3 linked regions of the Cricetulus griseus genome follow. The protein of the gene in region 3 purifies or fractionates together with the protein of the main gene of each other region. This does not show direct contact. Links are inferred from orthologs where the notes say so. Each region holds a gene or a part of one and is shown on either strand. Other genes may lie near its edges.

What was found. Proteins that work in one complex are often made in the same cells at the same time.
Region 1: the proteins of Usp11 (region 3) and transcription elongation factor A protein-like 4 purify together in Homo sapiens (affinity purification with mass spectrometry; 3 studies listed by BioGRID, with this or other methods). This does not show direct contact. The link is inferred for Cricetulus griseus from reciprocal best matches to the Homo sapiens genes USP11 and TCEAL4.
Region 2: the proteins of Usp11 (region 3) and Eif4b purify together in Homo sapiens (affinity purification with western blotting; 3 studies listed by BioGRID, with this or other methods). This does not show direct contact. The link is inferred for Cricetulus griseus from reciprocal best matches to the Homo sapiens genes USP11 and EIF4B.

The regions. Positions count from the first base shown.
Region 1 is NC_048604.1:43,940,593-43,944,251, forward strand, and holds transcription elongation factor A protein-like 4, read left to right. Parts: upstream 1-1,181; 5' UTR 1,182-1,334; intron 1,335-2,138; exon of another isoform or gene 2,139-2,321; 5' UTR 2,322-2,344; coding exon 2,345-2,914; 3' UTR 2,915-3,144; downstream 3,145-3,659. UniProt on the Homo sapiens protein: May be involved in transcriptional regulation.
Region 2 is NC_048595.1:398,468,326-398,472,485, forward strand, and holds the start of Eif4b (eukaryotic translation initiation factor 4B), read left to right. Parts: upstream 1-1,345; 5' UTR 1,346-1,478; coding exon 1,479-1,491; intron 1,492-4,160. UniProt on the Homo sapiens protein: Required for the binding of mRNA to ribosomes. Functions in close association with EIF4-F and EIF4-A. Binds near the 5'-terminal cap of mRNA in presence of EIF-4F and ATP.
Region 3 is NC_048604.1:125,510,991-125,515,301, forward strand, and holds the start of Usp11 (ubiquitin carboxyl-terminal hydrolase 11), read left to right. Parts: upstream 1-1,463; 5' UTR 1,464-1,520; coding exon 1,521-1,672; intron 1,673-4,311.

The DNA of each region.
Region 1 (3,659 bases), about 82 Mb from region 3:
TCATAAGCAGCCACACAGTAGGGATGGAGGGAGCTTCAGAGAAAGAGTAAAGCCCACAGTGTTGGGGAAGCAAGAAGAGTTCCTGAAACCACACCCAGAAGAGAGAAGAAAAGTGGGCAGATTGAAAAGGCTGCAAGATTACAGCTCTGAAGGAGACTGCTGCAGGAGCAGGGCTTATGGGAAGGGAAGACACGTTGCCTCAAGAAAGGATCATCTTAGTCCCCTTTGTCTTTTAGAATGGCTTTATCCTACTGGTTTGCTGACCCAAGTGGATTAACTCTTAATCAGTGAGAGTGTGGCATGTCTACCACTAGATGGAAATTTAATTCTTTTGGAAGGGAGGCAATAACATTCCATTAAAGATGGTTCAAGGCCACTATAAGTGAACCATCCAAAGGCCTTTGTATGGGGGGCAGGAGGGGGGCAACCCACATAAGCACAAACACAGGCTCCTTGTTTACAACTTGATAAAGCAGGGGAGTCACACAACATTTGTGATTGCCAGAGAGGCAAGCTAGAAAGCTTTGTCATGGAGATCTGTTTAAAAGATGTAAGAGTTTAGGAAGTTCTTGAGAAGATCTAGCTGGGATCAGGCTACTGGAAGCTGGGCCCAGATGTCATAGACTAGAGGATATATTAAATGTGTTTAAAGGAAAGTGGGTTTCTCTTTCTGTCCTGGAGATTGGTGTGGAGGTGTGCTTGGTTACTCAAGCTGTGTGCTGAAATCATGGTTGATCTCAGTTCTGTCTTCATCCAGGGTCTGATCTTTGCACCCTTTATACTCACTTTCCCACTTAAAATAAAAGAGTCATTCTCTCGCTCAGCTCCAAATGTAAGTCCCTTTCCTTTTTCATTAGAAAATGCATGAAAGTCAGATGATAAAATTAGGAAGTGTTATTTGGTGAGACAAATTCCTATTTCTTTTTCTCAAAAGTGCAATATCCTACTGTCCACGCATTCAATTCCCAGTTCTAGGACTTGCTTCACTGATTCAGATCTTGCAATAGATTTGAAAGCAACATTGTCAAGATTCTTCCATCACACCACCCAGTACAACGGAAGAAAAAAAAAAGTGTGGCATTGAATAAAATTCTTTATAAAACCAACTTTCCAACAAGAGAAACAGACACGCCCTTAATGTGAGTGGTACCTGATTCGAGGAGTGGTGTGTGACTGGCTGAGTCTTGCTAGTAGGCAAGAGGGAAGGCTGGCGCTGGGTGGTGTCACGTGATTTGCCTGCTGGAGTGCCCCACCCTCGCTGCTCCCAAGGGCTCTGTCCCAGAGCCATCTCTCAATTCCCTGGGGCTCCTGGTTACTGTTGTTGCTTCTCTCAGGTCAGTGTGAGGTTTTGCGCCTAGAGGCTAGAGGCGAATGCTAAGGGGCGAGGCCAGCTGGGCGCTAGGAGGGAAAGGCAGGAGGTGGAGTTGGGACAAGGGAGGAGGGCTTGAGTGTAGACCACAAGGCAGTGGGAAAGGGAGGTTACTAGGGGGCTTGAGGCCGCCGGGCAGAAGGCAGAGAAGGCAGACACCCCCAAGTATCCCCGTCTGCCTGCTACACCCCACTCCAGTATCCTGGCTGCCTTCGCTGCCCCTTCTCTGCTCCCTTTTGGAGTCCCAGTACTGGACCGGGGCTGGGAGGAGCCCTCTAAGGGAGGGCTTGGAAAGAAGGAAAGGGAGGAAAAAAGACAGAAAAGCAACCTTCTGCCATTACTGACCCCAAAGCCGCTAAGCGGCAAGGTGGGCTCTTGAGTTCCAGCCAGGACAGGGAGACTCACAGACCCCCAAATAGCTAGAAGACCGTCCTCCCTGGAGCTCAAGGCTTGAAAAGAAATGGCGGCTGGGGAGCAGGGAGGAATGGAGGAGGACAAGTCCTGAATCCAGGACAGTTTTCCAGCCACAGCTTTTCACTGAGTGCATAGACCCTCCCCCCTGTGCCCTGTCTGCATATCTGAGACTGCCACTGCCTCCTTCCTCGGACACCTGGAAAGGAGGGACGACCTGCTCTCAGTCACTGCGATATGGACAGGGACACAGGCAGATTTGGGTCTCTACCGCGCACCCCCACCGTATTCCACAGTGTTTGCCACAGTGAAAGAGCACAGACAGAGAAGGCGGCAGGACCTGCCGGGATGTGCTTACCTCAACTGTGAGGGAAGGGTGCAGGCAGAAGGCACACTTGGAGGGCAGACAGGCTGAGTTAGAGAACCATTCTCAAGGGCACGATGCAAAGACTAGATGAACGTGCCTTCCGCCCCTGCTCCTCAGTCTCCGTGTCTTCTCTATTTCCTCTTTCCCCCACCCCACCCCCACCTCTACCTCCAGGACAGAAAAAGAACAATCCGGACATGGAAGAACTCTCGAGGGAGAAGGAAGCAGTGCCTTCGAAGCAAGCACAAGTGGAAAACGGTAAAGAGCCACAGGAGGAAGGACAGTCAGAAGTAGCCTTTTCTCCGGAAGAGGAAGAAAGGTCAGAAAGCCAGGCAAAGGCAGGAGATGAGGGGATGCTGCCAAGGCGCCAAGAGCAGCCGGAGCCCGAGAGAAGGGCAAAACAGGAAGGAAGGCCAGAGACACAGGGAAACCCAGAATTTAGTAAAGGGAACCCTGCTGGAAAGCGCCCGGCTGAGGACCCCCTGCCCAGAAAAGCCAAAAGAAAAACCAACAAGGGGCTGGCCCACTGCCTCAAGGAGTATAAGGAGGCCATCCACGATATGCACTTCAGCAATGAGGACATGATTAGGGAATTTGACAACATGGCCAGGGTAAAGGAGGATGAGAGAAAGAACAAGCAGAAGATGGGACACATCTTCTGGATGCAAAGAAGTTTGCAGGACCCCTTCCACCCAAGGGGCCCAAGGGAATTCAGGGGTGGCTGCAGGGCCCCTCGAAGGGACATCGAAGACATCCCTTATGTTTAGTTCCCTGGTCAGCACTTGCTGCTGCTTCGATTTAGGCTGCATCCTGTTTGACCCTGCCGTGTTCTGATCCCAGTGCAGTAGATTTTCCTTCACCGCATGGAAAAAATATTCAGAGTGCATTGTCAAATCAAAGTACATAAGCCACAGAACCCTCTATTTGGCACCAGCCCACTTTTGTGAAAATGCAACACATAGTAATCTACATGGAGAAAACAAGTATTTGAGAATTACTTGTGTCGTTCTTTATTGTTCTCTCAATAGTTTGTTGTCTCCTAAGATGGCTGCTCCTTCTGGGCATAAGATACAGGAGAGGGGAACTAGTCATAAGCAATCAGAGCTCTGTGCTGGGGCGGGGGTGGAGTCATTGCATTTTTTTTTTCTGGGTGTAACATGGGAGGTAACATTTGTATTACTCCTGGGGCTCCATGGTGGAAGACACAATCTGTCCTTTACTGCTGTAAGGCTGAGCCCTGCTGCCTGTGAAATGGGGATAAATCTTACCCATAGAGTGAACTTTTGCCATCCATATCTGTGCCTAGGATATGTGCTGTGCAGTCATATTCATATGAAGAGACAATAGTGCTGTCTCACTATAAGGATTTTTCCTACATTCAATTAGACACTCATGGGAAGAACTTGAAGCTGGGCTCTGCTAAAAATCTGCTCAGAGAAAGGTTCCAGCTGCCTTTCCGCCCTGGGGATGGAGAACTATGTGGCTAGATTTACTTAGCTTTGTTGCAATGAG
Region 2 (4,160 bases), on a different chromosome or scaffold from region 3:
CCAATAAGCCTTATCTTCAATCCTTTGTATCCGGTTTTCTAAAGGTATTATGAAGACATTCCCCGGGGCCTACAGCTTTTTTGTTCCTGTTTTGTGGGAGGCTTACCTGTGTGTGTCCCCATCTATGTAGGTGTCCACACAGGTGTGGGTGATGCTCACCCCTGCAGTCTAGGGGACTCTTGCCAAGTATCCTGTCTCATATCCTTAAAACAATCCAGTGAGAACTGGACCTGGTGTTAAGCAGCTGGCCAGAAAGCCCCACAAATGTATTGTCTCTGCCTTCCACGATGCTAGGGTTATAGACTAACCCTCCTGTAGCCATGGACCAAAAAAATATGTGGATACAAGGTTCCAGGACTGAGGCCCCTATTTATGCATTATCAGCAAGCCCTCTTACTAAGCCAGCTCCCCAGCCCATTTGTTAATACATGGAAGGATTCACTCCGTATACCAAACTGGACTGGAACCCGTTATGTAGTCCAGAAAGGCCTGCAGCTCTCAACAACCCTCCTGCCTTAGCCTCAAGAGGCATGCACCACCATGCTCATTCTAAATGTCACTTCCTCAGAGACCTTCCCTAAGCAGAACATCTAGAGTTGCACTCAACCACCTTTTACTCTATTATCTTACTCACCTGTAGTGTTTATCATTTGGAATATTCTTACTTACCTGTTGTGTTTATCGTTTGTAATATTTTATTCAAGGTAGTTTTGTTCTGTTATATCCACAAACCTCTGTTAAACAGTGCCTGACACATGGTTGGTGCTCAAAGTTTTACTTAGTGAAATATAATAAAAATGGAGCATTGGCTGGAAGAAATGTGGCTAGCACTCGGCGCTGGACCTTGTCAGTAAATTGGAGGCTTAAATGAGGCTAAAGTTCACGGCCTTAGCATGTTCAAATGTTACTTTCTTTTTCCTTCTAAGCACGCTAAAAAGCACGCTTAATTGAAACCATAATACAGAACATCAGATTTGCTTTGCCTTTACAAAAAGCGACTTAAAACAAACTCCGAATCTTCTCTTTGTAAAAAACAAAAAAAAACAAAAAACAACAACAAAAAAAAAACAATTGTGGCACATCCATTCTAGATTCCAAGCCAGCTCGGTTCCATGGAATCAGAAAGTGCGGCCCCGCCCTTCGCGCCGACCCACCTCCCAGAAGTCTGTGCGTCAGGAGACCCCGCCCAGGGCGCACAGCCGACCTGACCGCCGCGCCGGGCCCAACGTAAAGCGTAGGGTTTCGCGACAGCTCAGACTCCACCCCTTCGGCCACATGTCGCGCAGGTCTTCCGGTCGGACGCCGCGCCACCTCGTCGCGCTGCTTTACGAACCTAGCACGGCAGCGCCCCGCCTCCTCCTGCCTCCGTCCTCCGTTCCCCGCCCCCTCCTGGTTTCGCGTCTCCAAGCCCGTCGCGCCCGCTATAATCACGTGATTGCCTCATCCGGGTCCTTTGCGTTCTCTCTCCCTCTCCCAACATGGCGGCCTCAGGTGAGTGAGCGGCCGAGCGTGGCCAAGGACCGGGCTCCGAAATAGCCTCCGGGCTTGATCCGCTCCTTGCTGGAGTTGGGGGGCAGGTGGCACCGGCTCCCTTCGGACCTGGGAGCTGCGGCAGGCTGGCGGCATAGCCGCTGCGGGCTGGTGCCTCGGAATGTTTAGGGGGAGGGGAAGGCCTCTCCCCTCCCCCTCACTCCCTTTTTACCCCCTTGCGCGCGGTTGGAGTAGGCAGTAATGGTGGGCTTCGGCTCCGGTCGGAGGAGGTAGCGCAGAAAGGTGTGCGGGAGTCCCGCGCGAGGCCCTTCTCCTAGGCGTGAGGCGCTGCGCCCGCGCCCAGGCGCGGAGGAAGGACGGAGGCGGTTGGCGCGCGGACTGGAGCGCATGAGACCCGGTCTCCAAGGCGCGAGGCCGTTGCGGACCCTCGTGGGGGCAGGGGTGGGGGGGCGGTTAGAACGCGAGCGCGAGTCCGTGGAGGGGCGGGGGGAAGCGGCGGTGCGCGTGCGCGGCGAGAGGCGAGGTGAAGAGGGTTCGCCTCGGAAGCGTGCGCTCGAGTCCAGATGGCAAGCTCCGATGGGCCCGGGTTTGGCTCCTTGGTGACCTTGTACTTTATGCTTTGGTAGGTTTGGGGTTGTGGAGTGTGACCCGGCCTCTGTCCTCCAAGGGAACGCACATTGGGTTTGGAGGTTGGTGCTGCGATGGTTGGGGGTAGGGAGCCTAGTGTGCGCCCACGTGTTAGGGCGGAGCTGTAGGGATGGACACCTATCTCCTATGTGGATTTTCTTCCCAACTCTTCATTCAACAGTTTGTACTATATGCCAGGCAGGGGTGGGGAACAAGAGCAGGTCGTTGCCTTACACAGCTTCCATTTTGCTTGACTTTTTGGTAGTTTTCAGTTGTCAGGATTCAGCTTGCTTTGGTCGTTTCCCTGGATAATTGGGAAACTTCCCAGAAGGTGCTATTAAAATAATAGCTAGAGGTTCTGTGGTTTTCTTTTTTAAAAATGGGGTGTGTGTGTCACTTCATTGCAAGTGGGTTTGGGGGGGGGAGCTGCTTTTTCTTTGTTTTTGTTTTACATTTTAAATGGACTTGTAAAAATGCCCTTTTAAACACCTAGCTTTAGTTTAGGAAATACGCTTTATTTTCTCTAACATGACCCTCTAGTCTGTAAAAAAAAAATACTTTTTGGATTGTTGCCTCCAAACAATTTTGAGATAGGGTCTCTATAGCTTTGACTGTCCTGGAGCTTGGTAGACCAGGTTGGCCTGGAACTCACAGAGATCCACTGCCTCCCAGGTTCTAGGATTAAAGGCAACATTCAGTCTCCCCACCCCCTTCAGGTCTGAGGTTTCTCTTTGTAGCCTTGGCTGTCCTGGAAACTCTTCAGAGACCAGCCTGCCTCTGCCTCTCAAGTGCTGGGATTAAAGTGTTAAGACACCACACCCAGCAACATTTAATTTATCAGAAATCCATCGTTTCTGTTCTTACAAGGGACCTAGGGCTATGATTGTCTTTGGGAAATGTTCGCTGAATTTAGATGGCATTTGTGCATAAGACTTTATTTCCCCCTCTTGCATTGTTGAACCTTAAACGCAGAACTTTTGGATACAGTAGGCACCATGCACACACACAGCCTTTTTTTGTTTTGTTTTTAAGATTGTGTTTTTGGGGGATTGGAAGCTCACTTAGACCAAGCTGGCCTTGAACTTAGATCCTCAAGTGCTGGGATTAAAGGCATGGACCAGCACATGTTTAGGCAAGCACTCTGGGTAAACTATAAATTCCCAACCCTGAACCAAGGATATACCAACAGCTTTTGTTACTGTAGCACTTAACTGAAGAAACCTGTGAGATAATGTAAAGAACTGGTGATTTCTCCCAGCTGAAGAAAAATTGCTTGCATGTAGCAGGGCAGGGTCAAAATCTTGGGGGACTCCAGGCTCTTGATCTCATTAAGATGGGAAATACTAAAGTGCCACGCTAAGTTGGAGTTGCTGTTGAAAACCATCATCTAAAACTTAAGAAACTGTTTTAAATGGTGGAAAATACTCAATGGCATAGGTGTACTACCTTGTCAGTTGAGTGTCTTAACTGAGTGAAAAGTCTAGATGTGTTTCCCCTTCGAAATTCTTAGTGGTGGACAACACCATAGCTTAACTGAGGACGTGGCTCCGATATACCAAGGCTGTCAAGTTTAGATCCCAGAATCCACATGGTGGAGGCCAGAGCAGACTCCTCCAAGTTATCCTCTTACCTGTGTCCTATCAAACAATAGTTAAGAGTAAGCCGAATCTTTGGTTTTACTCTGGTGTGCAATTCACAATTTAAAAGGTTTGCCTAGTAATGTCTCTTCCCCCTTTTCTCACCTATCTGTGTTACACTCCCAGGAAGACCCTCTCCCCCCCCCCCCTTTTTAAACTTAACTCGGGAAATGTAGCTTAGTGTGTTACCACAGCACATGTTTACCTATTACTTGGCCTTTGAAGAGTTTGGAATTGACCACACTTCTTTCTCCAATTACACTGACTTTGAGTGACCATTATACATACCCAGAGTTGGAAATGGGTTTTGGGTTCTCTGTGAAAATGCCAGATATAACTTAATCACTAATAGGTAAGACCAAACATTTGAGGCAATACCAGTTTCCATGTGACCCTCTGCTAACC
Region 3 (4,311 bases):
ACCCTGGCACATTCAGTGGCTCTTAAATGTTTGACTTAAGATTTCATTTATATAAGATTGAGGACACTCAAAGAACTTTTGCTTATTCCAAAGTACCTTCTGGGTAATTTCACTATATATGTGTGAAAACGAGAGTGAAGATACTGCAGAAATAGTTTTGACTTTGTGAAACCCCCAAGAGGGATTCTTGAGCTGATAGCCTGTGACCACAGTTTGAGGATCTGTTTGGTGTTTAAGGTCACAGCTCTGTAACTAGGTCTGCATTGCTACAGCACATCCTAGTTGAGAACAAATGATTTGACATTTCTGGATCTCAGCTAACCCCATTGTTAATCATGGGCCAAAAAATACAGTACCTGCCACCCAAGGCATTTAAGTTCAAGTCACTTAAACTGGCAGAGTGACTATTTGTTATGCCTCCAACAAACACATGGTTTAGGGCTGACTTCATCAGATTTGTCTGGTGAGTAACTCTAGTTCCGGAAGCTCAGTGTTGAACAGTATGCTTACAATCCACACTTTGGAGACTGAGACAGTTGGGTCAAGGCAAATCAGATGCCAGCCTGAGCTCCACAGAGTTGGAGGCAATTTGGGGCAGTTTAGCAAAAGTCCTGTTCTCAAAGACAGACACACACACCCTAGTTACGAAAGGCAACCCTGTGAGGCTCTCAGGAGGTGGTAAACTTTCTGTATTTGAGTTAAAAAAAAAAAAAACAGAGACAGGCAGTGGAGGCACAGGACTTTGATCCCAGCACTCAGCAGGAGAATCTCTATGATTTCGAGGCCACCCTGGTCTAGAGAGCAAGTTCGAGGACAGCCAGGGATACACAGAGAAGCCCTGTCTTGGAAAAACAAAAAACCCTAACAAAAACAAAATACCCAACTATTTTACTTTATGTGTATGAATGTTTCCCCTGTATGCATGTATGTGCACCTTGTGCATTCCTGCTGATCCCCTGGAACTGGTGTTTTGGATGGTTGTGAGCACTGTGGGTACTGGTAATTGAATCCCCATCTTTTGCCAGTGCAACAAGTGCCCTTCATTGCTGAGCCATCTCTCCAGTCGCTACATTTGTTTTTGATGGACAAGAGGGTAGTGCAATGAAAGGTAATTCTAGTTAGGCTAACAAAAATGGTGCTTTCACAGTGTGTGGGGGGGTGCAGTCCTCAACAGAGCAAGGGGCAGGGAGATTTGCCATAAGCTCTTTTTGTAAGGCCCAAAACACACATCTTTGCTCATGTGGAAAACCTTTAGCCTCCACCTTCCATAAGACCTTTTGACCTAGTGTTAGAATTCCATAAGCACTAGTTCCAAACTGGAGGGTTAACCCCTGGTATTGGTTACACAGATCACAGCCCACCACCCAGTTTCCGCCTAATAGTGACGTTTCCAAGATGGCAGTGGCCCCCTGATTGTTGGGGGGCTCTGCTTCCGTTTCCGGGACAAAATCCGGAAGTGCCAGTTGAGGGTCCTCTTCCTATCTTCAGTTGCGTCGGCAGTTGGAGGAGAACGGACGGAGATGGCGGCGGTCGCAGCGGACCCAGCTGCAGCTGCCATCCCGGCCTCCGCCGAGGAGAAAGAGACACAGCGCGAGGCAATGCCAGACCTGGACGAGCAGTGGCGCCAAGTCGAGAATGGGCGAGAGCGTCCACTGCGAGCTGGCGAAAGCTGGTGAGGCTGGGCTTCAATGAAGCCTTGGCCCAGGGGACTGCGGGGGCGTTAGTATCCGCGGGGTACTTAGAAGCCAAATTCCGAGGAAGAAGAGGTGCGAGGCGGGGAAGGGGCTTGGTGGACGGGTAGGAGATGGGGGGCGTGGAGGTGCTAGTGAATGAATCGCAGCATTTGGGGAAGAGGCGGGGCAGTTAGCCGCCCGAGGACAAAATGGGGCTTGTTTGTGGCAGAGGCAGGGCGTGAGAGAAATGGCCTCGGAGGTAGGGACTGCATCTTCTGGGGAGGGGGTGAGAGGGGACTGCGTCTGGGAACCTGGAGCCTGCAAAGGAGGCTGGCTCTGTCCTTAACGCGGGGGCGTGGCGTGTGTTACGAAACATTGCGTCGGTTGCGAGGAACAGCCTACGAGTACTTGGAGCGCCTGTGAAGCCGAGGAGCTTGGTGGCGTCAGCTGAAGAGCAACTCCGTAGCCTATAGCAGTGGGCCGAGGGGCGGAGGGCGTGGTGGGATGGGGAGGGTGCCTGGCTCCTGGGAACGAGGCGAAGGTCTGAGGTGAGGCAAATGTGGAGGAGGGGCGGTGCCGAGGGCAGAAAATGGCGCCTGCGAAAGAGCAAAGATTGTGACGCGATAGTTTTTGTTTGTTTTTTAGATTTATTATAGCCAAGGTCTCCTTCCTAGGACAGGAGAAAGTGCAGATTACAAAGGAAGGTTCTTTGAGAAGAAAATTTTTTCTATTCAATAATATTTTGTAATCAGTAGAAAATGGTGTTTAAAAAAGAACCCACAGCCTTGACAAATTGTCTTTACTGATATTTTTTAAAAAAGGCTAATCACTGCCCCAAAATTTACGGCTTCAGGGTTCGTATTTCACTCTGAGTTGCGTCTTGTTTTTTAAATTGTGAAATTCGTAAGACCTACAAAGATTATAGTATAAAACATTTTACATAAATTGATGGACTTCCTGATGAAAGAAATGGTTTGTATGCTTCAAAACGGCAAGGTCGTGAAAGACAGATGCTGAAGAACTGTTCCAGATTGAAGGAATTAATGTAGTTTAACAAGTCACAACTAAACGCAACATGTGATCCTCAGTTGGATCCTAGAACAAGGAAAAATAAATTATTTTTTAAAATCAGGGTTCTTTCTCATAATTTCTCTTTCACTGTAAATTTCATTGTAAAAAAACGGTGAAATTTGACTAGGGCCAGTAGATAAAATATTGCTACTGATGATTTCTTGTTTTTGATCATTGTAATATGGTAATGAAAGAATATCCCTTGTTTGGTGAAAAATACACACTGAAAATTTAGGGATAAGGAACCATCATGTAAGCAACTTATCAAATGATTGAAAAAACTAGCCTATGTAAAAATGCACGTGGAAGGGAGAGGATTATGGAAATTTCATCATAGGATGCAAAATTTAGTTAGACTAGGAATAAATTCAGGAGATCCATTGTACAAAATGGTGATAATAGTTAATAGAAATCTATTCTATACTTGAAAATTGCCTAATAGACTTTACATGTTCTTACCCAGAAAACTGTGACACAATTGATATGTTAAGTAGCTTGTTTTAGTGTTTTCAATGTGTATATCAAAACATCATGCTGTATACCACAAATGCACACATTTTTGTCTATTTTAAGATAAATAAAAATAACCCAAAAATGATATGGGGGAAAAATAAGAATAGAGCAAATGGATAAGGTATGCTAGATTTGGGGAATCTAAGGGCATACAGAGAAGTCTTTGTATTATTTTGTCCCTCTTTTTTGGACACAGAGTCTCTCTTCTACATAGCTCTGGCTGTCAGAGCTTGATCTCAGAAATCTGGCTGAGATTACAGGCATGTTCCACCGAGCCTGGCTTATTATATATTTTTAACTCATTTTCAATGAGTCTATTTAAAAGAAAAACAATTACCAAGTTTTATGTGCAGATTCCTCACCCATGGGAGATTCAGAACATTACCTTAAAAACTCCTGTGCTCCTGTCAGATGGAAATTCTCCTCCCTGCTTCATGAGGAACTGTTACCCTAAATTTTTAATTAAAGGGCTCTTTTCACATGTTTCATTATCATGATATGCTTTTCCACCATTCATATTTATAAACATATGTATCTATATACAGAGTGTGTTTATAAAACAGACTGGATGCATACTGTGAGCCCTTATATGACATGGTAAATGGTATCTGTATGATGTAATCTAAGACATTAACCTTGATCTGTTGGCTGTAGCTCTGTCTGCCAGGTTTCTCAAATGTTAAGATGTTGTTCTATTAAGCAATAATTCTTAAAATACTTATTTAAATAAGTATGCATATATCATGTCCATCTGTTCCTCAGGATGTCCAACAGCTTCCTGTCTCATGCAGCATAAATGATAAAATCCTGAGTGACCTGCAAGAATTTTGGAGGCTGGTACCCTACTTGCATTCTGTTTTTCTCCAGTCTCTCTGATTACCAGCCCATCAGCCCCTCCCTTTCAGGGCCATCCATAGTAGTCTGTTGCTGTTCTTTACATCTCCGAGCCTTTTCCAGGCTTTCCCACTTTACAGAGTTCCTAAATAACAGTGCCAATGAAATGTATATACATTATTGAGGAGATAAGTTACAATTCCAAGACTGGAGGATATAA